Rattus norvegicus: one gene and its partners. Each later gene encodes a partner of the first gene's protein in a complex. Links are inferred from orthologs where the notes say so. Each region holds a gene or a part of one and is shown in the gene's direction. Other genes may lie near its edges. The genes, in order: Tprkb, Gon7 and Osgep.

Region 1 (7,740 bases):
AGGGTTTTGCCTTGGATAATAATGACTAGATTTTTTTTCCCCAAATGAAAACAAAACAAAACAACAACAACAACAAAAATGAGGGTAAAGCCAGGCAGTGAGCGGCAAATGAAGGGCACAAAGTCTTCAGGGACAACCTACGATGGTGCAGTCCTGTGCTGCTACTGGGGTTCCTTAAGTCAAAATTAAGCTCATCTACACGACCCAACGGCCCACAGTTTAAAACAGTGGGTTCTTGTTAGACTGTAAGATATTAATCTCCTCTCAGCATTTGTAAAAAGTACTTAAAAATGCAAACATTTTAATTAACTACTTCTGCTTTTTGTTATCTTTGTCAAAAATTTAACTAGGTAGAGAACCCATCTTAAGCTGATGCTCATTAGGTCTAATTTGTTTTTGTTAACCTCTCTAAATAACCACTTTTATAAGTAATTTTCCCAGTAAATTTAACACCCTATGCATCTGTGTAGCAATCTACGTCTGACCTTGTTTGTAGTTACAGACATTTAATTCATGTAGAATGATTGACACAACACATTTTATACAGAAGTTGTAATGTATACTTATGACCATATAATTCTTTTGCTATTTGTACTATTTTTAACCAGTATCATTCAGAATTAAAAACAAAACCAATCACAATTAGTACTGTTATCTAAAATCCTGGTGTATATGTCTTCACCTTGACAGAAGACATACTTTATTGCTATATTCATAATTTATTTATTGCATCTGTGTATAATCATTGACACTGTTCCCCATTATGGGTCTAAAGTTTATTTTTAAATAGTTAATGCTGTAGACCTTTTACCTTACCTGGCCAAAGAACCAAAATTTTGCTTCAAAACCAAAACTAGGCAGATTAATAAATAATGGGGGGAGGATCTTTAGTTCTGTGTAATTCTTCCATGTGGTGACGCAAACTGATGTGTGTGTGTGTGCGTGCAAGCGCGCGTGCACGCACGCACGCGTGAAGCTGTGAGTGTTGTACTATTTTTAACCAGTATCATTCAGAATTAAAAACAAAACCAAATCACAATTAATACTGTTATCTAAAATCCTGGTGTATATGTCTTCACCTTGACAGAAGACATACCTAATTGCTGTATTCATAATTCATTTATTACATCTGTGTATAATCATTGACACTGTTCCCCATTATGGGTCTAAAGTTTATTTTTAAATAGTTAATGCTGTAGACCTTTTACCCTACCCAGCCAAAGAACCCAAATTTTGCTTCAAAATTGTGAGTGGAGGTTAGAAGGCAAGCTTGTGGAGTTGGTTCTCTCCTTCCTCCTTAGGTGGGCTCAGGGGATTTTATTCAGGTCTCAAGCTTGCTGGGCTATCTTAATGGATTACATACTGAATTTTAACACTAGCTTTCCTTAAATGTTTGCTCATTAGTTCTGTGTGGTGTTCTTTAAGAATTAATATGGCTACCGTCTACAGACATTTTTGCAAAAATACAGCCTCTAATGGACATCCCCATTAGTGTTTTTGGAGATGCTAAGATAGTACCAACTGGATAAACAAAATGTAAAAAAATTGACAAGGTAGGATTCTAGGGTTTATTGGCATTAATTCCTTGACATCTGTCACTCATTCACACCTTCAACACTGAATCAGATCTGTTGGGACAGATCTCATCCCAAGGATGAGAGACAAGATCAAACCACCATAGCCAAGCAATAGTATCTTCAGAGAACATTCTTCAGAGATGTGGAAAGATTTGTCAGTACCAGAACCAAGTCACAGTGGCATGATGTTGCTTGTCTGCAATTCCAGTACTTGGGAAGCTGAAACAGAAAGGCTGACAACTGCAGGACAGCCTGGCCCTCATGAGTAAGGGCCAAAAGTAAAGCAGAGAAGTTAAAGAGAAATGGTTTTTATACATTTTATACCTGACACATTTTCCAACCTTGGTTCATACTTTTATTGTTTATATTTGCTTCAGAACAAGGCATATTTCAGAAATTCTCACTCCAAGTCACAGCTGCTTCTGTTACACATATGCTGTGTTCTGACACACATCTTTTTGTGCCAGAGAATTTTCTTACAAGTAAGAAGTCATTCTGACAATCAACCAGGTACACGGTGTCAGGATCTCATTTTTTAATATGACACAGATCTCAGAGTTGCTACTGACAGCGGAGAATGATTGGGGACAGATAGGGACACTTTCATATTCTGTATTATGAAGACACCCATACTCCACACTGAGGAAAGGAACCTAGTGCTGACACCCTCTTATTTGTTTTGAGTTAACCTCCCAGGTACCTCTGGAGGAGTATAAGGTTGATCTCAGTAGAAACTAATTAGACTCTGAGTTTCAACGTGCCTAGATCCAAACATCTGCAGATGAGAAAGAGTGCAGAAAGCTAACAAAGCAAATATCATCTGCCCAGCGAGGCAAAATGGAGCTCCAGGATTATTGGCTGTCTTTGCCTATGGCCCAATCTCCTCCTTTATATAATCTGCTGGGTGGAGATGGTATAAAATACATGTCTTTAGGGTAATTAATCTACATTCTTAAGACTGTTGGCTCTCTCTGGATAAACTGTAATATTATGATTCAAGCCCTTTATTCATTGGGTTCGCTGACAGGTAGCAAGAATCAAAATCTGATTTTACTATCTAGGTGGCCATCCTTTCCACGAGCAGTACCCTGGTCTTGCACAATTTCCTGAGGCTGATGGATTTTGGGGACTTGATCCCAGTATCACGTCCTTCTGTCTGCTCAAGAAATTTGCCTTTTTCCTCTGTCACAGCTGTGAGAGTCCACTTGTCTCTAGATCTCCAAGCACCGAAAGAGCTCCTTCAAAGTAGGACCCAAGCACGCCACATCCCCGTTTTTACCTGAGAGCATACTCGGGTAAACAGAGTCTCAAAAGCTGATGAATTGTAACTCACGTCCTGGTGAATATTTTTCTTTTCACAGGAAAAGGGCATTCAACACAGGCTAAGAACAAAGCTGACACTCAATACCATACCTCAACTACTAGGCCCAACCTGTAGGGTGCTTTCTGCTTCCGAAGCCGGGACAAAGCAGAAGTAGCTATCCTCAGCCTCCGCCACAAGCGCCTAGCATTAATAGTAGTTTGCTGAAGTTCATATAAACATAGCCAGGAGTCCGCCCACCGGAAACAGGCTGCCTTGGAGTCCGTCCACCTGATCAAACATTAAGCTCTTCCGGAAGTAGAGAGCTTCGTTTCCAAGGGGACGATCTTCTGAGACGGACAGGAGACTGAGGGTGAGTTCCGCCCTGTAGCTCTTTCCATGCGGACAATTTTGTGGGCTAAGTGTGCATGTCTTCGCCAGTGTTTGTCGCGAGCCCTCCCAAGCCGCGGGTGGAGAGCGACATAGTCTCAGGAGTGCGGCTCCGGCCGGAAGGCCACTCGGCTGCGCGCGCGCCGGGGCGCCCCCTGCAGGCGATGCCGGAGGCTGAGGCTGGAGGAGCCGCGTGCGGACCGCTCAGCTACAGCCAGGCCCAGTGCTGGGAGGGAGTTGCTTCCGAGAGTGGCCCCCCACGCCCGGCTTTAGGGGGCCAGCGGGCTCCCAGGGGGCGGGAGGGATCCAGGCAGGAAGCCCGGGAGTACAGGGACGTCTTGTTGGAAAGCCTGACCAACCTAAGTGAGGGCAGGCCATGCCATGCAGGCCGGAGAAGTCAGGCAGGGAAGTTAGGGCTTTAGCTTCAGCTCTGACTTCCTCCTGAAGGACCCGGTGACCATAAGGATAGGTTAGAATTGCATTACTGGTGGCCAGGGCCCGTATGAGGACGTTGTTAGGATGTTAATGATAAGGGGTGATGGTAGTGTCTGTGACAAGGATGAGTCAGAGTTAGAAGTGGATGTAGAAGAGTCAGAACATGGGCGTTGCCTTAGACCACCTCCTGTTGCTAATACCACAATACTTCATCGGGAGAGTGAGGTATTTTATTGTGTTTTCCTAGAAGAGGCTTTCTGTGTGTATCTCTGGCTGTCCTGAACTCACTCTGTAGACCAGGGTAGCCTCAAACTCAGAGATCTGCCTGCCTCTGCCTCAAGCCAGGGAACAGGTTAGGAGGCTAGGCAAACTTGCTTTCACCACAGACTTGCTCTGGAGATGTTAGCCATTATTTTGATGTTTTTACATGACAGAGCATACGGATCACACCTACCATATTCTTTATCAGTTCGATGCTAACATGAGAAAGGCTGTGTCAGGACATTATAAAACTTTTTCTATAACAGAAACCTTCACACATAATTCTAGAAAATCAGAGGTAACTTTCTGTTACGTTTAAGTTTTGTGCTTTTTAAATTTTTTTTAAATATTTTATGTGTAAGTATGTTTTGCCTGTATATATGTGTGTGTGCCACTTGGGTGCCTGGTACCAATGGAGGCTAGAAGAGGGCATTGGATCTGCTGGGACTGGAGTTACAGATGGTTGTGAGCCACCTGAATGCTGGGTCTTGGTCATCTGCAAAAGCAGCAAATGTTCCTTTTTTCTTTTTTTTCCTTAAAGATTTATTTACTTGTTATATAAGTACATTGTAGCTGTCTTCAGACATACAGGAAGAGGGGATCAGATCTCATTACAGATGGTTATGAGCCACCATGTGGTTGCTGGGATTTGAACTCAGGACCTCTGGAATAACAGTCAGTGCTCTTATCCACGGAGCCATCTCTCCAGCCCCCTTTTTTCTTTTTAATTGGATAGTTTATGTATTTACATTTCAAATGTTCCCCCTCTCATCCCCTGTCCCCCTGCTTCTATGAGGATGCTCCCTCTCCCACCCATCCACTCCCCCTCAACACCCTGGCATTCCTCTATATTGGGGAAATGAGACTTCACAGGACCAAGGGCTTCTCCTATTGATGCCAGACAATGCCATCCTCTACTACATATGTGGCTGGAGGCATGAGTCCGTCCCCCCCACCCCCATGTATACTCTTTGGTTAGTGGTTTAGTCCCTGGGAGCTCTGGGAGGTCTAGTTGGTTGATGTTGTTCTTCCTGTGGGGTTGCAAACTCTTTCAACTCCTTCAGTTCTTTCTCTAATTCCTCCATAGGGGTCCCTGTGCTCAGTCTGATGATTAGCTGTAAGCATCTTAATCTGTATCAGTAAGGCTCTGGCAGAGCCTTTCAGGAGACATTCATATCAGGCTCCTGTCAGCAAGCACTTCTTGGCATCAGCAATAGCGATGCAAAGGACACTGTCAATAGGACAAAATGGCAACCAACAGATTGGGTAAAGGTCTTTACCAATCCTACATCTGATAGAGGGCTAATATCTAATATATACAAAGAACTCAAGAAGTTAGACTCCAGAGAATCAAATAATCCTATTAAAAAAATAGGGTACTGAGCTAAACAGAGAATACTCACCTGAGGATTATCGAATAGCCAAGAAGCACCTAAAGAAATGCTCAACATCCTTAGTCATCAGGGAAATACAAATCAAAACAACCCTGAGATTCCACCTCACACCAGTCAAAATGGCTAAGATTAAAAACTCAGGTGACAGGTGATGCTGGTAAGGATGTGGAGAAAAAGGAACACTCCTTCATTGTTGGTGGGATTGTAGACTGGTACAACTGCTCTGGGAATCAATCTGGAGGTTCCTCAGAAAATTGGACATAGTGCTACCTGAGGATCCAGCTATACCTCTCTTGGGCATATACCCAAAAGATGCCTCATCATATAACAAAGACACATGCTCCACTATGTTCATAGCAGCCTTATTTGTAATAGCCAGAAGCTGGAAAGAATCCAGATGCCCTTCAACAGAGTAATGGATACAGAAAATGTGATACATCTACACAATGGAGTACTACTCAGCTATCAAAAACAATGACTTTATGAAATTCTTAGGCAAATGGTTGGAACTAGAAAATACCATCCTGAGTGACGTAACCCAGTCACAAAAGAACACACATGGTGTGCACTCACTGATAAGTGGATATTAGCATAAAAGCTCGAATATCCAAGATACAATCCACAGAGCACAGGAAGCTCAAGAAAAAGGAAGACCAAAATGTAGATGCATCAGTCCTTCTGAGAAGGGGGAACAAAATACTCACAGGGGGAAATAACGGGACAAAGAGTAAAGCAGAGACTACCCCACCTGGGGATCCATTCCATATACAGCAGCAAATGTTCTTAATGGCTGAGCCAACTCTCCAGTCGTGGTTTATGTTCTGTTTTCTGAGGCAGGATCTCATATAACCCAGGCTAGCCTGGGACCGGAGTTGTGTAGTTGAGGGTGACTTTGACCTCTTTTCAGATGAAAATGTAACTTTATACACATGTAATAGGATATATTAGAATAGGCATAGACAAAGAAGAAGCTCAAAGAGTCAGTGCCATTTTGCTTGCAGGGAGGAAGGCGTAAGAAACTGGAACAAACTAGGGTTTTGAGGAAAACATTCCAAGACTTGCCTCCAAAGGAGTTACGGAACATAAAGTTAGGATTCAGGTGCCAAAGTTAATCCTTGCCGCTTAATGTACACGTGTAATAAAGAGTCCAAAATTCCGTTTGGAATAAGAAGTTTTTCATTAAGTATACAACAGTTTGTTTCTCAGAAAGTGATAGGTCACCCTTTAGATGTGGTTTCAGGTCAACCTTTACACGGGGTTTCAGTTATGCAAGTACCAGAAAATCTCAAGTACAAATAACACCTATGCTGATTCAGGCAAGTGTAACACTGAGTCAGTGTTTTAGGTCCTGTTGGTTGTGTTGTAAGCCATCTCTGCAGCCAACATTTTGGGTTTATAAATGTCAGCAGTTATTATATTTTGGTTTTTATTGTATATGCTCACTATAACCTTTTTGTTTTTGTTTATTTTTGAGACAGGTTCTCACTGTGTAGCTCTGGCTATTTTGAAACTAACTATGTAGACCAGGCTAGCCTCAAACCCACAGAGATCCACCTGCTTCTCCCTTCTGAGTGCTGGAATTAAAGGCGTGTGCCACTATGCCCAGCTGATGTTCACCATAGTTAAAACAACAGATGACACACATTAAGTGAAGAGAGTTGAATTTTAATGATAATCATGGTAATTCTTGAGATAATGCTTACACAGAATGAACCAGTATTGATTAATTGGCATTTTACACACACCGACCAAGAAAACTTAAAACAACTATCAAAGGCAGTCTCCCCTGAGTAGACTATGGTAATGTCTACTATTAAATATTTAAATATGGATGCCAAAGTATTACAGAGAGCACTATAGTTCACTTGGAGTAAAAATAGCCTGTCAGTCATCCTAATCAGGATCTTACAAAAGCATCAGGTTTCCAGGAGAGACACTATTCTAGAAAAGTCAGTAAATCTTTTGGTAGTTTTACATCTGTAAAACCAGGAACAGGCTATCTCTTGGAGTCTGAAGAAGATAGCCAGTCCCACCATGACAAGATTCCAGCCACAGTGGAAGATGAAAAGACCTTCCTTCAGCTACGTCCCCTGGTTCTAGAGGAGTCTCCTGTGTATACACGTTTGTGGCATCTGAGCCGTAGAAGTAGGTCTTTGTAAAACTTACTAATTTGCACAAAGATAAAAGTAGGTGTGAATGTAATTTTAACCACAGTGCCAGGTATGTCTGTGAGTCCTTCAGTCCAATGTCATCTGTCCATTGATTTCACTGAAGTTATGTGGATGAGGATTGTTTTTGTCAGCAAGACTGTTTTTTCACTCAGGATGAACTTTTTTTTTTTTTTTGGTTCTTTTTTTCGGAGCTGGGGACCGAACCCAGGGCC
Region 2 (7,904 bases), on another chromosome or scaffold:
AAGGAAAAACAGCAAAACTTAGAAACGTTGGTAAAGGGGCCATACACACCTCTCCAGAAAGGGGATTATCAGCCCACGCCAACATGCCAGGCTTTTATGTGCTTATAGGGACAGAGCCCAGGTCCTCCTGCTTGTGCAGCAAGTACTTTACTGACCCTTGCCAGTCCAACTACACAAATGTCTATTTTACTTTAATTTGCTCCTATTTTACTAAAGAATTTGCAGGGCCAGTGAGGTAGCTCCGTGGGTAACGTCACTAGTTGTGTTTAGCCTGGAAGCCTGTGTCCCATCTCCAGAACCCATATAACAGTGGAGAAAACAATTAACTCCACAAAGTTGTTCTCTGATGTATGCCTGCCCATGTGCTGTGGTACACATGCCCACACACAGCAGTAAATACGCTTTTTAAAATCCACTTGAGGGCTGGAGAGATGGCTCAGCGGTTAAGAGCACCCGACTGCTCTTTCAGAGGTCATGAGTTCAATTCCCAGCAACCACATGGTGGCTCACAACCATCTGTAAAGAGATCCGATGCCCTCTTCTGGTGTATCTGAAGACAGCTACAGTGTACTTATATATAATAAATAAATAAATCTTTAAAAAAAAAAAAATCCACTTGAAGTTAGAGCGATGGCCCAGAGGTTAAAAGCACATACAGCTCTCTCAGAGAACTAGCACTGGGTTCCCAGTACATACACTGGGCAGCTCACAACCCTGTAACTCCAGCTCCAGAGGGATCAGATTCCTCTACTTTCAAGGGTACCTGCACTCACATGCACATATCCACACAAATACTTAAAAAATAAGTCTTAAAAACAAAAAAAGTACCGTCGGGCGGTAGTGGTGGCACACAATTTTAATGCCAGGATTCAAGAGGCAGAGGCAAGGCCTCAGAGTTCAAGGCCATCCTAGGCTACAGAGTGAATTCCAGGACAGCCAGTGCTACACAGAGAAACCCTGTCTCAAAAACCTAAAAGAAAATAATTATTATCACTATTAATATCTATACTTATAGGATATACAGAAACTTATGACCAGACCTTTAATCCTAGCACTTGGGAGGGAGATGGATCTTTGTGAGGCCAGCCTGGGCTACATAGTGAGTTTCATTCTAGTTTGAACCACACAATGTGACTCTGTCTCAAAAAACACAGCAAAATCCACAAAAGAACAAGACTTTAAGCCAAGCATGGTGGTGTACACTTGTAATACTTTGGGAGGTGAAGAGAATAATGAATGCAAGGCAGATTTGGGCTATATAAGATCCTATCTCCAACAACTGTAGTGAATATTTTATAAAGCTAAGTATATTAATAAACAGCTCACATACAGCCTTAGGACCTTTCTTTCCTTCCAAGGAAGGGGTGGTGTATGTGGTTTAGTGGTCATTGAATGAAAAAAATAAAAATAAAAAAGGAAGGAAAGGACATATCTGTTCCTCGGTGTGGTGGGAGAGAAAAAGTTTATTATTAAAGGAAGAGCATCGGGGCTAGGACACCTGAGAGTCCAGAGTCTAAACAACCCTGAGCTGGGCCCTGTGAAAGGAGAGAGAGAGGACTGGGAGAAAGGATATGGAGCCAGGTGCTACAGTCCAGAGACCCAAGAGAGCTGGATAAACAAAACGGTTGGATTATTTAGGGAAGGGAAGAGGAGGGAAGGGTAGCCCAGCCCCAGTCAGGAGGGCTCCGGAAGGGACAGAAGGACAGGGAGAACCTGGAGGCCACCATCCTCTTTGATATGTTAAATAGGCACAGCAGCCCCTTTGTCCAAAGTTTGAAACCTAACAGCGATCCTTCGATTTAAATGCCAGCGACTACTGTGCGACCGTTTCTGGGATACAAGACTTATTCAACAATCCAACAATTTTGCAGTGCAAACCCAACTTGGTCAACAAAGAAAAATAGTATTATGACTTCGGTCCACACCACACAATTAACTCCAAGCCCCTTCACTCCTTCCCCAGTCTTCCTCTCCAACCATGGGCATAGTTAGCCTGTTTCCTTCCACCAATTCTCATCCTTGTTAAGTTTCCTTCCTACACACCCTTTTCCACTTTAGTACTTAAATGTATAGTAAGCGTCAGTAAACGCTACATCCCAGCCCCTCAAACTCTTGTTCAGAAACCCCAAGAAGATCCTTTTCTCCTCTCTTGGTTTTCCAGGGCCACCTGATGTTCTGGCTTCGATCTACTCCCGAGGGAGAGGGGGTGTCATACAGCACTTATACACGGAACTTCATTTAACCGGAAGGGGGGGGAGGCGCAGCTAGCAGTTAAACTAGACTACAGTAGTGTCCAGAAGCCCACCCTCACCGGAAGACTTTCGAATTCGGCCCAATTTTTCTTTACGTTTCCCCATCTAGTCCCTTAATTAACATTCTTTAGGGGTAGAAGTGGGGCGAAGAATATCTGGATTTAAGAGGTCACAAGAATAATCTCGTGGAAAGCAGGCCACCAAGAGGCGACAACTGGAGGACAGAGCTGCTGCTCCAGGACCGAAGCCTACAGTGTATGGCCAGCAGGACAGAAGGACAGCCCTGGTGGTGACAAGCTGAGGATCAAAGGGCAGCTGGGCCCCGGCTGTGGAAGCACAAAGTAAAGGGCCGCCCCGGAGCCGGCCGGGCTGCGGCCAGCGGGAAACAGGCAGGTCGGCGGGAGCAGCCGGGCCACGCGCACCTGCGAGTAGGAGCACTTCTCGGAGTCGCTGCCGCCCAAGACGGCGCACGCCTCATTCTCCAGCTCCTCGTCTTCCTCGAGCACGTCCACCAGCGACACCACGGGCTCCAGCTCCGCCTGGCACCCGGTGGGACTCTCGGCTCCGGCCATCCTCAACTGTCACCGGGCTCCGCTGCGTGGCCCTGGAGGCGGCGGGAAAAGTGGCCGCCAGGGGCGTCGCGAGAAGGAGGGGCCCGAGCACCAGCCAACCAATCCCAAGGAAGGAGAAGGAAGAAAATAGGCGGGGCAATTCCGGGAAAACGGAAGTCATCCCTCCTACTCTCCTCTCCCGCCCGCCCTGGCTGCGGGCTGGCTTCCGCTTCCGGGTGACGATTCTCTGTGGCGCGCTGTTGAAGCTGAGCGGTCGCCATGGAGCTTTCTGGCGAGTATGTCGGTGGTGACGGGGAGCCGCAGCGGCTACAAGTGTCCTGTGAAGCGTCGAGCGACGCGGACCCTCTCCAGAGCCTGTCGGCGGGCGTGGTCCGCATGAAGGAGTTGGTAGCGGAGTTCTTCGGGACCCTAGTGGAGCAGGACGCACAGGGCGTGGCGGAAGATCCGGAGGACGCTTTGGATGGTGAGCGCGGGGGCGGGGCGCCGGGGGACTCTGGCGGGGGCAGGCAGTGTGAAGGGCAGCCTAGAGAAGGCGAGACTGGGGGAGGAGGAATCGCTTCTAAAAATCGTTAGTCCTCTCTGCCCTCTTTGTCTGATCTCCCACCGCGGCGAGTGTTGGATTAGGGACTGGACAACGAACGAAGTCAGCTCGACTCCCTTGCAAAGGATCGAGATAGGCAGATCTGCTCGAGAAAGTGTGGTGGTCTGTAACCATTGCTAACTGGCAGGAAGACCGAAAGGGCGGGACTTTGGAGCTGATTGTTGAAAGAAGAAAAGGAGTGAAGTTAGAAATTAGAAAAACATTTGACAGAATAAGAGCTTCAGATGATCGAGACCCACTTTGTTTTAGGGAATCTTAACCCTCTCAGTTTTATAGGTATTGTTTTGAAAGTAAAAGGGTTTTTTAGTTTTTAAATTAATTGATAGTTTCATTCATGTATGTAGTGCATTCTGGTCTCTCTCTATCCCCCGCTGAACCCCTTCCCAACAGGGCTCCTGCCCTTTCTTTTGTTGTCACTCACTGAGTTTATTTAAGGATATTTGTGTGAGCTTGGGTGGGTTGTTTACAGGAACTAGGGCAACTCAGCAGTGACTAAACCACTGAAGAAAACAATGACTCCGCGCCCCCCATCAACTGCCAAACGCTCCTCCGGGAGGAGAGGCGCCTCATGAGCCCCTCCCTCTTCCATGATCGAACGTTTAGGTTGCCAACTTTTACTGGTTATCACCGCTGCCGTACACTTTCCTTTCCTCTGGCTCTTGCTTTCTCTCACCCCCTCTACTGTTCTAGAAACTTAACTGTTAGGTTTGGAGTTTGTTTTTAAAGATGGATGTTTTACCTGCATGCGTGTCTGTACACCACTTATGTGCAGTGCCTTTGGAGGCCAGAAGAGGGCATCAAATCCCCTGAAGCAGAGGTACAGACAGTTGAGAGTGCCTTGTGCATGCAGGGATAAAGTTGGCAGTGCTCTTAACCGCTGAGCCATCTCTCCAGCCCCAACCCTGTTACTAGGAATAAAATTATTTTGTAGACATTGTCACCATGTAACTGTTAAACCAGACTAGCTTTGAGTTGCAGAGAGCCGCCTGACTCTGCCTCAGCAGTCGGGAATAAAGAAATGTGCCCACACTCAAGCTTGGCTACATTTATTTTTCTTATCTTGAATTGAATCCCAAGATAGATATCGTCCTGAACTAAGGAATCAAGGAACTAAGGAGGAGGTTAAACTGTACTTCCTAATTCTTTATAATATGGGCGTTGGCTGTCATTAAAAGGTATTATCTAGATGTATTAGGTTTCTTCAAAGGAGCAGAACTGAGTAAGAGTGACTTATGGCCTGTGGTCTGAGTAGTCCAAAAAAAGCCCTGACAGAGGGGCTGGGGATTTAGCTCAGTGGTAGAGCGCTTACCTAGGAAGCGCATGGCCCTGGGTTCGGTCCCCAGCTCCGAAAAAAAGAACCAAAAAAAAGCCCTGACAGAAAAGCCAAGAATCTGGTAGTTGTTTGTCCATGAGACTGGATGTCTCAACAGTCCCAGTCAGGGACTTAAGACTTTCTTAAGAGGACTCCAGTTTTCAGTCTTTGTTCCAGTCCTAAAGAAGTAGGTTCTAACACCAACAAAGGAGCATCGTGGGCATCTCGGTAACAGAGTAGAGGAACTTGCTAGTCAGAGTGAGGGCAAGCAGGCAAAAAAAGCAAAAGCTTCCTTCCATATCTTTTCTCATGGGCTGGGCAGGTTGACAACCAAGATTAGCTATCATACTAGGATATGATAGGCCCTCGTTGGTGGAAGTGTAAAATGGTTTGTCCACTTTAGAATTTCTAAAAACTTAACCATACCACCCCATAATTAAACCACTAGTTTTCCAAGTTAACTGGAAATATGTTTATACCAAGATTCAATACCTGACGGTAGCAGCACTGTTCATTGGTAGCTGAAAAGTGAAAATAATACAAATGCCCATTCTTTTAATTTTTGAATAATAGTCATGTGAAAATTGTTGGATAATGTCTAACAATTAAAGTAAAGCCAGCTGCATAGACATGAGGGCTTGAGGTTGACTCCCCAGAACCCATGTAAGACCATGTGCCTGTAATTCTTGTGCCCTTGCAGTGAGTTGGAAGATGGAGCCAGGAAACTTCATGTATGTAGAGACCCTTTCTTAAAGTGGAAGGTAAAGACCTATACTGAAATGGTGACCTCTGTGTGTACTATAGCATGTATATACACATCATACATACACATATACACAAAGGAATGATACGTGGATTCACAGTACAATGGTAACGAATCCTAAGACAACAGTCAGGCACAAATGGCTCTACACTCTTCATTTGTCTGAGATGTCCAAACTAGGCAATCTATAGCAGCTGAAAGTAAATTAGTAGTTGTAAGAGAAGGATGCGTGTACCTGAACACAGGTAACCGTACATGTGGCAGAATGTAGGTTAATATAAATGGGTTATCCTATGATCTAATCAGAGAAGAGCCTATATGGCCAAAGTATTTGTACATATACTTTGAGTCTGAGTCTTATTTCTGGGAACATTGGTCTAGGAGGAAGAACTGAAATCAGACTTGTACAAAATGGTACCCCATATTGGGTGCCAATATGTTATATTAGAAGTTTCTTATCCCACCTTAGATCATTTAGTTCTCAGATTAAAAGACATACAACTTTATATTTATAATATGCTGTTAATGCACTAGAGCTGGGCAGATACCTCCCTTATAAGCTATTCTGATCCACTTCCCCATCAATAATCCTGAGTTACAACTTGCTGTGTTCCATCTGGGCAGCTCTTAACTCCAGCTGGCCTACCCTCGTAGCCTGGCCATGTTTTCATGACTCACCTACCCCCGTGGTGTCTTCTCTCCATCTTCTTTTTTCTTGTGGTTCTCCTCAAACCAAGAGAACCGAAACTGTACCTACCTCTCCTCTACCCAGCTATAGGCAGTAGGCATCTTTATTCAACCAGTAGTTTTAAATTAAGGAGCCAGGGTCACATATCATTCATTATTTGATGTATGTGAGGATTCTCTTGTCCCTGGGGCAATAATAAAGCAGTACATTATAGACAGGCTGGCCTCAAACTCAAGAGATTTGCCTGCTGCTTCCTTCCGAGTGCTGTAATGAAAGGTGTACAGTTACGTTGTTTTTGAGATGTGGCCTTACTGTGTGGCCCTGGCTCCCCTGGAATTTACTATGTAGATCAGGCTGGCTTTGAACTTAGAGAGATCTGCATGTTTCTGTCTCCTAGGCACTAAGATTAAAGGCTGTCACATTCAACTAATTCCTGAAGTTTTTAAAAATTCATTTTAGCATGATGCATATGTAGAGTGGGGTCTCCTTTTTATTGGGCTCAAGGGATTGAACTCAGGTCACCATATTTACCTGTACTGCATTTACTTTGACCCACTGAGCAATCCCACTGGCTCCTAGCACTTATAAAGTGTAAGATATGTGTGGTTGTTTAGTCCCCAAAGGGACGTCTCGTATCAGTCTCTTTACCTATTTGTATTTCTTTTATCCACTAAACATATCATACAACAGACATTTATTTTAAAAGGTGATGAAGATGATGCAGAAGATGAAAATAACTCTGGTAGAACTAACTCAGATGGACCATCTGCAAAACGACCTAAACCAACTTCTTAACACAGCTCTTAAGACATTCAGACTGCTACCAGGCTGAGTGAGATGATGTGTACTTGTAATCCCAGTTCGTTCAAAGGCTGAGGCAGTATAATCAAAGTTTGGAGGCCAACTTGTGTGCTACATGCCAAGACCATGCCTCAAAAAAAAAAAAAAAAAAGGCCCAAGACAGCAGGGCAATGCTATCCTCATCACTGGAATTACAGAAGACCTGTGCTCTAGCTGGGAAATTCATTTTCTTTCACTGGAACATCACAGAGCAAACTTTCTTGTTCCTAACAAAGTACAAGTGTTTGGGAGTGAACTCCTGTTGTCTCATCCTAAAATAAAATGAAACCGCTCACAGTGAATGAACTCTAAATTGGCAAATGAATTTTTATGTTTGTTTTTCTCTCTTAAAATGCTCATTGAATCAAGTGGTGTATGTCTACATCTTTCAGTGTTTATAAAAGCTGCTTGTTGTAGTTCATAGGCAATTAATATTTGAAAGAATTGATAAGAAATATGACTTGTGTGTATATATATACATCTGTACAAGTATAGATGTAAAGCCCAAGTCAATAAAATACATTGGTTGTAACTTACCTATTTCCTGTAGCCATTTTTTTTTAATTTTAGTCAAAAGGGAACTGTTGAATAGTTTAAAAAATATAAATTCCTAAAATATATTGTATGTGTTCTTTTCTGCTGTTTATCAGTGGAACTAGATAGAGTAGTTTTTTTTTTTATTTATAGTGCATCTTATCTGATTTTGACACTTGAAATGCAAAATATACCTAGTGAAATTAGAATAATTCTTTTAATTACATATTTTGTTTTGAGGCTGGTTCTTGCTATGTATGTAGCCTAGACTGGCCTGGAATTCACTGCATAGCCTACCTGGCTTTGACCGTTTAATGTCTTACTTCTGAGTATTAGGGATCA
Region 3 (7,884 bases), on another chromosome or scaffold:
TGGCTCAGCGGTTAAGAGCACTGACTGCTCTTCCAGAGGTCCTGAATTCAATTCCCAGCAACCACATGGTGGCTCACAACCATCTGTAATGAGATCTGATGCCCTCTTCTGGTGTCTGAAGAGAGTGAGGGTGTACTCACATACATAAAATAAATAAACCTTTAAAAAAAGGGGGGGGGGGAATAGATTGTTGTCAGCTCCAGATGTGGTTTAGCTAGTAAAAGTATTTGCATAGCCTACATGAAGCCCTGGGTATGATCTCCAGCACCACATAAACTGAGCAGAACTGGGCATAGCCCTGAAAGCTATGGTCCCAGTACTAGGAGGTGGAGGCAGGAGGATAGGATTTCAAGACCATTAACTATAGGATTTGAGGCTGCTCAGGGTGCTGACATGAGACACTAGCCTTAAAAAAACAAAAAAACAAAAAACTGAAGTGAATGAATGAGTCTGGTGATGGGGTCGGGGGTTTGTATTTAGGTAGAGGTGAACTCAAGTCAGAGGTCACTAATAAACTAAGTAAAACAGTGTTCCCACTCTGGAGAGAGAAATGAGTTATCGGCAATCCTGGTTCACTTGGTAGGTGTAAGAAATGCTGGCTGATGCCTGGGATGGCAGAGTACTTTCCTGCTTAAGGGAAGAAAGCTAAAACACCTGATCTTGGTCCCTGAGGGTGTTACAAGTGATTGGGCTGCAGAGACAGAAGTTTGCATTGCATTACTGTTTCTAAGACTTTGAAACAGTGGATACCAAAAGTAACCTTATCTTTTTTTTCTTCCTCCTGTCAGTTTGGCACATGGAAGCCTGCACAGCAATATGGAGGTATCTATGCAGCCTGGGCGTTTGTCATTTTGTTGGCCGTTCTATGTTTGGGCCGGGCCCTTTACTGGGGCTGTATGAAGGTCAGCCATCCTGTCCAGAACTTCTCCTGAGCCCCTTGATGCAGTGTGTGCCTGGCGGCTGCCTGGTACCACAGTAACACTACAAAAGGCTCTCTGGACTTCTAAAGGAAGCCAAACAGCTGGCTCCCTTTTCCCTGGGGAGAGGTAGGAAGGAACCAGCCCCTGACTTAGGTTTGGAGGGGTAGGGAAGACCATTGCTGACTGGCTGCTTTCTTCCAAGGACTGCTGTTTAGGGTAAATAGACAACATTGCCCCTAAGCCTGGATCCTAAAGATGGTTCTAGCCATGTCCTTCCTGTATGTGCTCTTTGAGAACCATTCCTGTCCCTCAGTACATTCCAGGGCAGGGTGGGGGTGGAAAGTGGGAGGGGGTGTTCCCCTCCCTCTTGTGTACCGTTAGGACCTTGCTGCTGCTATTGCACTTCACCAGGGGCTGGCTCCGGCCTCAACACCCTCAGTCTCTTCTCCCCACATTTCGGGTCCCGTGGGGTGGGGTCAGCCACTGCTCTGTACAGAACTACAGGAACTGTTGTGTATATATATAACTATTTAATATGGGATATGTTCCCCTAACCCTGTGCATCCCTGAATTCCTCCTTCCGGCTTTACTTCCAGTTGAAGTATTGAACTGGGCTGAGGTAGGGTCACTGTCTTGGGAGAGGTCAGGGATTCATCTGTGCTTGTAAATAAATAATGTCATGACTGTAACCTTTCCCATTTAACAAGTTTTGTGTTTGAAAGGGGGAATATTTAGACTCAAAAAGGGACAGAGACCATGAAGTTGAAAAGTAGGACTTTTATTTCACTTGGATTGTTTAAAGGAAACCAGAAGTTTGGTTTAGAGGGGAGTAAACACCTGAAGAAGAGATAACGCACTGGTCTCCTGGAGGAGAGGAGGCTATTTCCCAGCATGAAGCTACTTGAGGGGAGTGTCACAGTGCTAGGTAAAGGGTGATGGGACAGTGGTCACTGCCAAGAGCCTTGGACCGGATCTTGCTGTCGCACAAAGCAGGTAAAAGAGAGTGAGACAGCAAAAAGTAATCAAGGCGCCAACCAACATTCTTAGAGCGGGCATTCATCATGTAAGTCCAGAAAGTATAAGCGTAGGCAGTGTTGGGGTAGAGATGCCGGAAGCTGTCAGCCAGTGGTACAGCCTGTAGCATTTCCCCAAAGCCTTGGCGCTCCTGGGGAGTAAAACCAGCATTCTTTTTGTTTCCTTTGGGGTTACGAAGGTCTATTTCTTCATGAGCCACATTGAGATCCCCACACAGCACAAGAGGTTTCCGGGAAGCCAAGTCCTTTAGAAACTTTCTGAAGGCTTCATCCCATCGCTGTCGGTACTCCAGTCTTACCAGACCCCTTCCTGCGTTCGGAACATAGGCTGTTACCAAGATAAAGGACTCAAATTCAGCCACAATCACCCGGCCTTCTTGATCATGTTCTTCCTCACCTATATAAAAATGAAAAGCAGCACAAAATGTTAAAGAAATAGTACAGTAAAATGAAGAACATTCAGACATGAATGCCATTGAGGTCTCACCAATGCCATAAGAGACTTTGAGCGGGCATTGGCGGGAAAGTAGGCCCACACCACTATATCCTTCTTTGTCTGATGGAGCTGACCAGTACTGATGGGTGAGTCCAGGCAGCTCTTGCAGTTCAGCCGGGAGTTTGTTCTCTGAGCATTTGGTCTCTTGGAGGCACAAGATGTCTGGTGCTTCTTCCTTTACCCACTGAATGACAATGTGGAAAATTAAAAATTGCTACATACAATATGCCGAAGGAATCCAAGCAGCAGGATATATAAACAAACTGTGTGTGGGAGTGAATGCCCATTAGTCACCTGAGTGGAGTGCGGGAAACCTAATTGGAGCCTCTGCAAGCTCAGCAATGTCTGTTAACTGCTGAGCAACTCCAGCCCTCAGCCCACTTGGATCTTAAATGACTGGGATTGAGGATATGGTAGAAACACAAGGGCATATCCCCCCCCCCCGACATTATAGACTAGTTTAAAAAAGAAAGAAATGAGGGGGTTGGGGTTTAAAGAACAGACTTTTTGGAACCAATCTCCAGGAAAAAAAGCCTACAAGATGACTGATCCTTAAGAGTCTATCAAGTAAAGTTTACGTCCCTCAATTGTACTCACATCCAAGCCTTTCTTTTTAATCCAGGCTCGAAGCCCATCCACATTCCAGGAGCATATCTTGAGTGTGGCAGATTTGCCACTGGCTGACGTTTTCTGATCTGGAGGGTCCTCATACAGGACAGGGCCCTCTCCTGCGGCCTCCTTCTCAGTTTTCTTTGCTGCCCCCTTACTCTTCTTGGTCTCTGGCTCTATAAAATAAGTCAAGTAGTAAGAGCTGGCAGTTTCCAACCTCAGAGTTAACTATGATCTCGTTAGGCGCTCTAGTTACCCAAACATCTCGGAATCCTGCAACGTAACTTGGTCCATATTAAGCAAGTAGTTAATGGCGGTCTAGTAAAGCCCCAAACTTGCCTGGGGGGAGGGGAGCGATCCGGTTCATTTCACCACCTTACCGGACTTGGGTTCTTCCCCGTCTTCCGCTGCCGCTCTCTTCCCCCGCTTCGGCATCGCTGTAACGAAAGCCCTTAGGCGTCTGGAGCACCGAAGCAGTGTTTACTACGCTGCCTGCAGATAAGAAACGGTGAAATCAAAATACAAGGAGAGGAAGCGAGCCGCCTCCCGCAGGCGTTTGCACACCGGGACCGCGGTTCTCCCAGTCTTCCCCGCCTTGAGCCTCGCAGCCCCTCGCCCGAGTTAGGCCCTTCGGCAAACAAGGTCGCGAAACGGGGTAAGCCTGGTACCTGACCTCCCAACGAGGCAGGGAGCCCCTCACTGCACAAAGAATGGAGTCTGTCTGTTCCCACGTGGGCGATTGGTGTTGTCACGTGATTCGAGGGCTCCGCCCCCACGTGGTTCTAGAGCGCGGTGATTGGTTCGCCTGCCACTCGTGACATAACTTCTGGCGCCTGAAGGTCCCTTCGCTTGGTTCTGGGTCGTTCATCGCGGTGCCGGTTACAGCTAGTCCTTCAGTTCCACGATCCCGAATCACGGGGTATCATGCCCGCGGTGCTGGGGTTCGAAGGCAGCGCCAACAAGATTGGCGTGGGCGTGGTCCGCGACGGCACGGTGCTGGCGAACCCGCGGCGCACATACGTCACGGCCCCGGGCACCGGTGAGTGGCTGCTGCCGCGCTTGCAGACTCCTTGTCGCATTTATTTCTGTCAAGGGTTCTTTGCTGATTTCCCATACTGTTGCTTCGTCAGCGTTCCTGTTGGTATTACTGCCTTGTGACCCTACTCCAGACTCCCTTAAAAAAAAAAGGAAAGAAAAAAGACCCTGATTTCGCGTTTGGTTGGTAACTTTTTGACTAGAACAGTCAGACACGTGGGCTTAGGACACGTGTGTTTGTCAAGGATTTTTTGTTGTTTTTTTATTTTGTTTTGTTTTGTTTTGTTTTTTAAAATACATAATTTGAGACGGTCTCACTGACCTGGAACTTGCTTTGTAAAGACTATAGCTCTTGAGTGCTGGAATTAAAGACGTGAGCCACTCCTCCCTATTGCATTCGTTTTATTGAGCACCTTTTATGAGCTGAGCTTTTAAAAATAAGTGTACCGAGGCTGTACACTGTACATGCACATAGAGACTGTTTTACACTAGAGCGAGATAAATATAAAAGTAGTCTACAATGAGGAAAGGGGAGAGCCGGACAGATATCAGGAGTTACTGTATTTTCGATCTGTTTTAGGTGTCTGTCTTTCAGTCCTTTTAGAATGGAAATGAATATCCGTGGGTTTGGACAACTATGTGAATGCACCAGGTACTGCACAACTCCCAGTTAACATATTTACAAGTTACATGTTGCCTACCCTCTCCCAAAGCTTGCACACATACATACAAGCTGCATTTATATCTGAAGACTCCCTAAGCAAGTGAGATGTTTCAGGTTATGTAGTAGAAATGTATGTGTGTTCAGGACTCACTCTTCTAGGCTCTTAGGCACAGAGGCTGAGATACTTGAGGTGAAAGGGAAGCTACTGACAGTTGTAGTGCTGTCATTATGTTAAGTCCAACAGTCACTTTTCCTAGGGCTCTCTGTACAGGGGAAGTGACCAAAGAGTGGGAGGTCTGGATAACTTGGATTGCTCCTGAGTGTTGTGTGTGGATGTCCGCAGCGTCTCTGAAACCCCAGTAGCCTGTGTAGAAGTTGGAAAGCTAGCTGAGTGTGTGGTGACGTCTGTCATCCTAGCGCTTGGGAGGCTGTGACAGGGTCTGTGTTTTAAGGCGGTCCGGGGTTATGTGTAACCTTGTCTTAAAAGTAGAGGCTTGAAAAGAGGGTATCTTAAGACGTAGGCGAGAAAAGGATTTTTTTTCCCTACATCGTTAAAACATGTCCGTGTTGGTTTTTACTTCTAATTGGGCAGTGCAAAAATAATTGCAGGTTTTGCATTGTCAAAATTCATAGTTTGATACTAGAATGCATTTATAATCGTTCATTTTCTGCCTCGCCCTCCCTCCCTGCCTGCCTGCCTGCCTGCCTGCCTGCCGGCCTACCTGCCTACCTGCCTTTGCCTCCCAAATGCTGGGGCTACAGGCGTGTCTTAATGTGCACATATCACATTGGGGTTTGGATGAGCTTTATTTTTATTTATTTTTGGTCTATGACACTTCTTGCTGTTTATGTCTATCTATCTTATACTATGGAAATTATGTTAGACAGAAATAAAACTAAAGCCAGGTGTGGGAGCTTAAACCTGTAATTCGAGTACTCCAGGAGGCAGAGGCTGGCAAATCTCTTGAGTTTGGGGCCAGCCTGGTCTAGCAAATTCCAAGCCAGCCATGGGTACACCGTAAGACCCTGTCTCAAAATAAATAACAAAAATGGAATCAAGGAACGACTGAGTTTAGAATGGGAGGTAAAGCAGTGGAGATGACTTGGAATCCTAGCAATCCTAACATTCGGTCCCTGGAACTGCTTACTAACAGTGCCTTGGTGGTTTAGGACCTTGCAAGGAGACTAACAAGAGCACTGAAATGGTTGGCTATCAGAAGTTGGCTTTGACCTGTTTACTGAGAACAGCTGTGGAAGCTGATCTTACAGCTAAAGAAATATATACCAAAGCGCTCAACGTGGACCAATCAGTGATCATTTGAATATTTGAAAAGTTAAAACAACACAAAACAAAACCTTAGTAGGTTGATACCTCATAAACAGACTGAAAATCCAACAGCCGTTGTTTTCGGCTCTCATGTATGAACCATTTCTTGGGTTGTGATGACAAAAAGTGGATTGTAGGGGAAAACTAGTCATAGCCAGCTTAGTAGTTGAACTGAGAAGCCCCAAAGCCAAATTTTCACCAAAAATGGTCCGGGTCACTGGTGGTCTGCTGCTGGTCTGATCCACTACAGCTTTCTGAATCCCAGGGAAACCATTGCATCTGAGAAGGGTGCCCAGGGAAACCATTGCATCTGAGAAGGGTGCCCAGGGAAACCATTGCATCTGAGAAGGGTGCCCAGGGAAACCATTGCATCTGAGAAGGGTGCCCAGGGAAACCATTGCTTCTGAGAAGGGTGCCCAGGGAAACCATTGCTTCTGAGAAGGGTGCCCAGGGAAACCATTGCATCTGAGAAGGGTACCCAGGGAAACCATTGCATCTGAGAAGGGTGCCCAGGGAAACCATTGAATTTGAGAAGGGTGCCCAGGGAAACCATTGCTTCTGAGAAGGGTGCCCAGGGAAACCATTGCTTCTGAGAAGGGTGCCCAGGGAAACCATTGCTTCTGAGAAGGGCACTCAGCAGATCATTGAGATGCACCAAACTATAGCTCCAGCAGTCAGCATTGTTTAGCAGGAAGAGCCTGATTCAGAGCAATGCCTGACTGCCTGTGGCACAACCCATGCTTCAAAACCGAATGACCAAAGTGAAGCTTTGCTAAATCCACCACATTTACCCGACCTCTCATCAACTGACCACCGCTTTGTCACTACCCTGACAACTTTTCTTGGGGAAAACGTTTCCACAACTTGCAGTATGCAGAGAGTGCTTTCCAAGAGTTTGTTGAAACATGGGTTTGCTGCAGGAATAAATAAATTTTTTTTGTTTGAGACAGGGTCTTTGTACAAATCCCTGGCTGTCCTAGAACTCTGTAGACCAGCCTGGCCTTAGACTCATAGAGATCCACCTGCCTCTGCCTTGCTGGGATTAAAGGTTTGCACCACCACCGCCTAGCTGACTGGTTTGTTGCAAGATGTGTTAATAAAAATGGTTTGTGTTTTGATTAATAAAAATGTGTTGGAACCTAGTTACAGTGATTTAAAGTTCACAGCCCCATATCACACTTCCCTTTGCACCAACCTAATACCTGCCTTATGGTTCCGTAGGTTTCCTTCCAGGTGACACGGCCAGGCACCACCGAGCTGTCATCCTAGACCTACTGCAGGAGGCGCTAACAGAGGCAGGGTTAACCCCCAAGGACATCGATTGCATTGCTTACACCAAAGGTAAGGCTGGGGGAGTGGTCAGCAAGGGCGAATGTGGGTGGAGCTACCACCACCCCTGTTACACATTCTCAAATCTACTCTACACGTCTTTCCTAATTTCTAGGATTCTAACCACGTGTGTACCCTGTTAGGTCCTGGCATGGGAGCCCCACTGGCTTCCGTAGCTGTTGTTGCCCGCACTGTGGCCCAGTTGTGGAATAAGCCTTTGCTAGGCGTGAACCACTGCATAGGCCACATTGAAATGGGCCGCCTCATCACTGGAGCCGTCAACCCAACTGTCTTGTATGTCAGCGGAGGAAATACTCAGGTACTTAAGAGGACTCTTCATACTCCCTCTTAGTTCTAAGGTAGTCTACCTGAGTCACAGGAGCTGCAAGGACATTCCAGGCACGTTCGGACCTAAGACACTGTAGACAATACAATAATAGGTATGAAGTTGCAAGTTTTGGAGAAGAATT

Evidence for each region.
Region 2: Tprkb (region 1) and Gon7 share a complex: the UniProt entries of both Homo sapiens proteins name them as parts of the EKC/KEOPS complex. The link is inferred for Rattus norvegicus from reciprocal best matches to the Homo sapiens genes TPRKB and GON7.
Region 3: Tprkb (region 1) and Osgep share a complex: the UniProt entries of both Homo sapiens proteins name them as parts of the EKC/KEOPS complex. The link is inferred for Rattus norvegicus from reciprocal best matches to the Homo sapiens genes TPRKB and OSGEP.

Annotation. Positions count from the first base shown.
Region 1 is NC_086022.1:119,897,259-119,904,998, forward strand, and holds the start of Tprkb (EKC/KEOPS complex subunit Tprkb), read left to right. Parts: upstream 1-3,240; 5' UTR 3,241-3,250; intron 3,251-5,997; exon of another isoform or gene 5,998-7,502; intron 7,503-7,513; exon of another isoform or gene 7,514-7,740. UniProt on the Homo sapiens protein: Component of the EKC/KEOPS complex that is required for the formation of a threonylcarbamoyl group on adenosine at position 37 (t(6)A37) in tRNAs that read codons beginning with adenine.
Region 2 is NC_086024.1:127,658,401-127,666,304, reverse strand, and holds Gon7 (EKC/KEOPS complex subunit GON7), read left to right. Parts: upstream 1-3,028; 5' UTR 3,029-3,082; coding exon 3,083-3,287; intron 3,288-6,894; coding exon 6,895-6,983; 3' UTR 6,984-7,564; downstream 7,565-7,904. Other genes in the region: putative E3 ubiquitin-protein ligase UBR7, read right to left, coding at 2,675-2,824. UniProt on the Homo sapiens protein: Component of the EKC/KEOPS complex that is required for the formation of a threonylcarbamoyl group on adenosine at position 37 (t(6)A37) in tRNAs that read codons beginning with adenine.
Region 3 is NC_086033.1:26,614,124-26,622,007, reverse strand, and holds the start of Osgep (tRNA N6-adenosine threonylcarbamoyltransferase), read left to right. Parts: upstream 1-3,894; 5' UTR 3,895-3,983; coding exon 3,984-4,098; intron 4,099-4,674; exon of another isoform or gene 4,675-4,746; intron 4,747-7,306; coding exon 7,307-7,426; intron 7,427-7,529; exon of another isoform or gene 7,530-7,557; coding exon 7,558-7,733; intron 7,734-7,884. Other genes in the region: Pip4p1 (type 1 phosphatidylinositol 4,5-bisphosphate 4-phosphatase), read left to right, coding at 789-932; Apex1 (DNA-(apurinic or apyrimidinic site) endonuclease), read right to left, coding at 1,834-2,634, 3,048-3,235, 3,440-3,494. UniProt on the Homo sapiens protein: Component of the EKC/KEOPS complex that is required for the formation of a threonylcarbamoyl group on adenosine at position 37 (t(6)A37) in tRNAs that read codons beginning with adenine.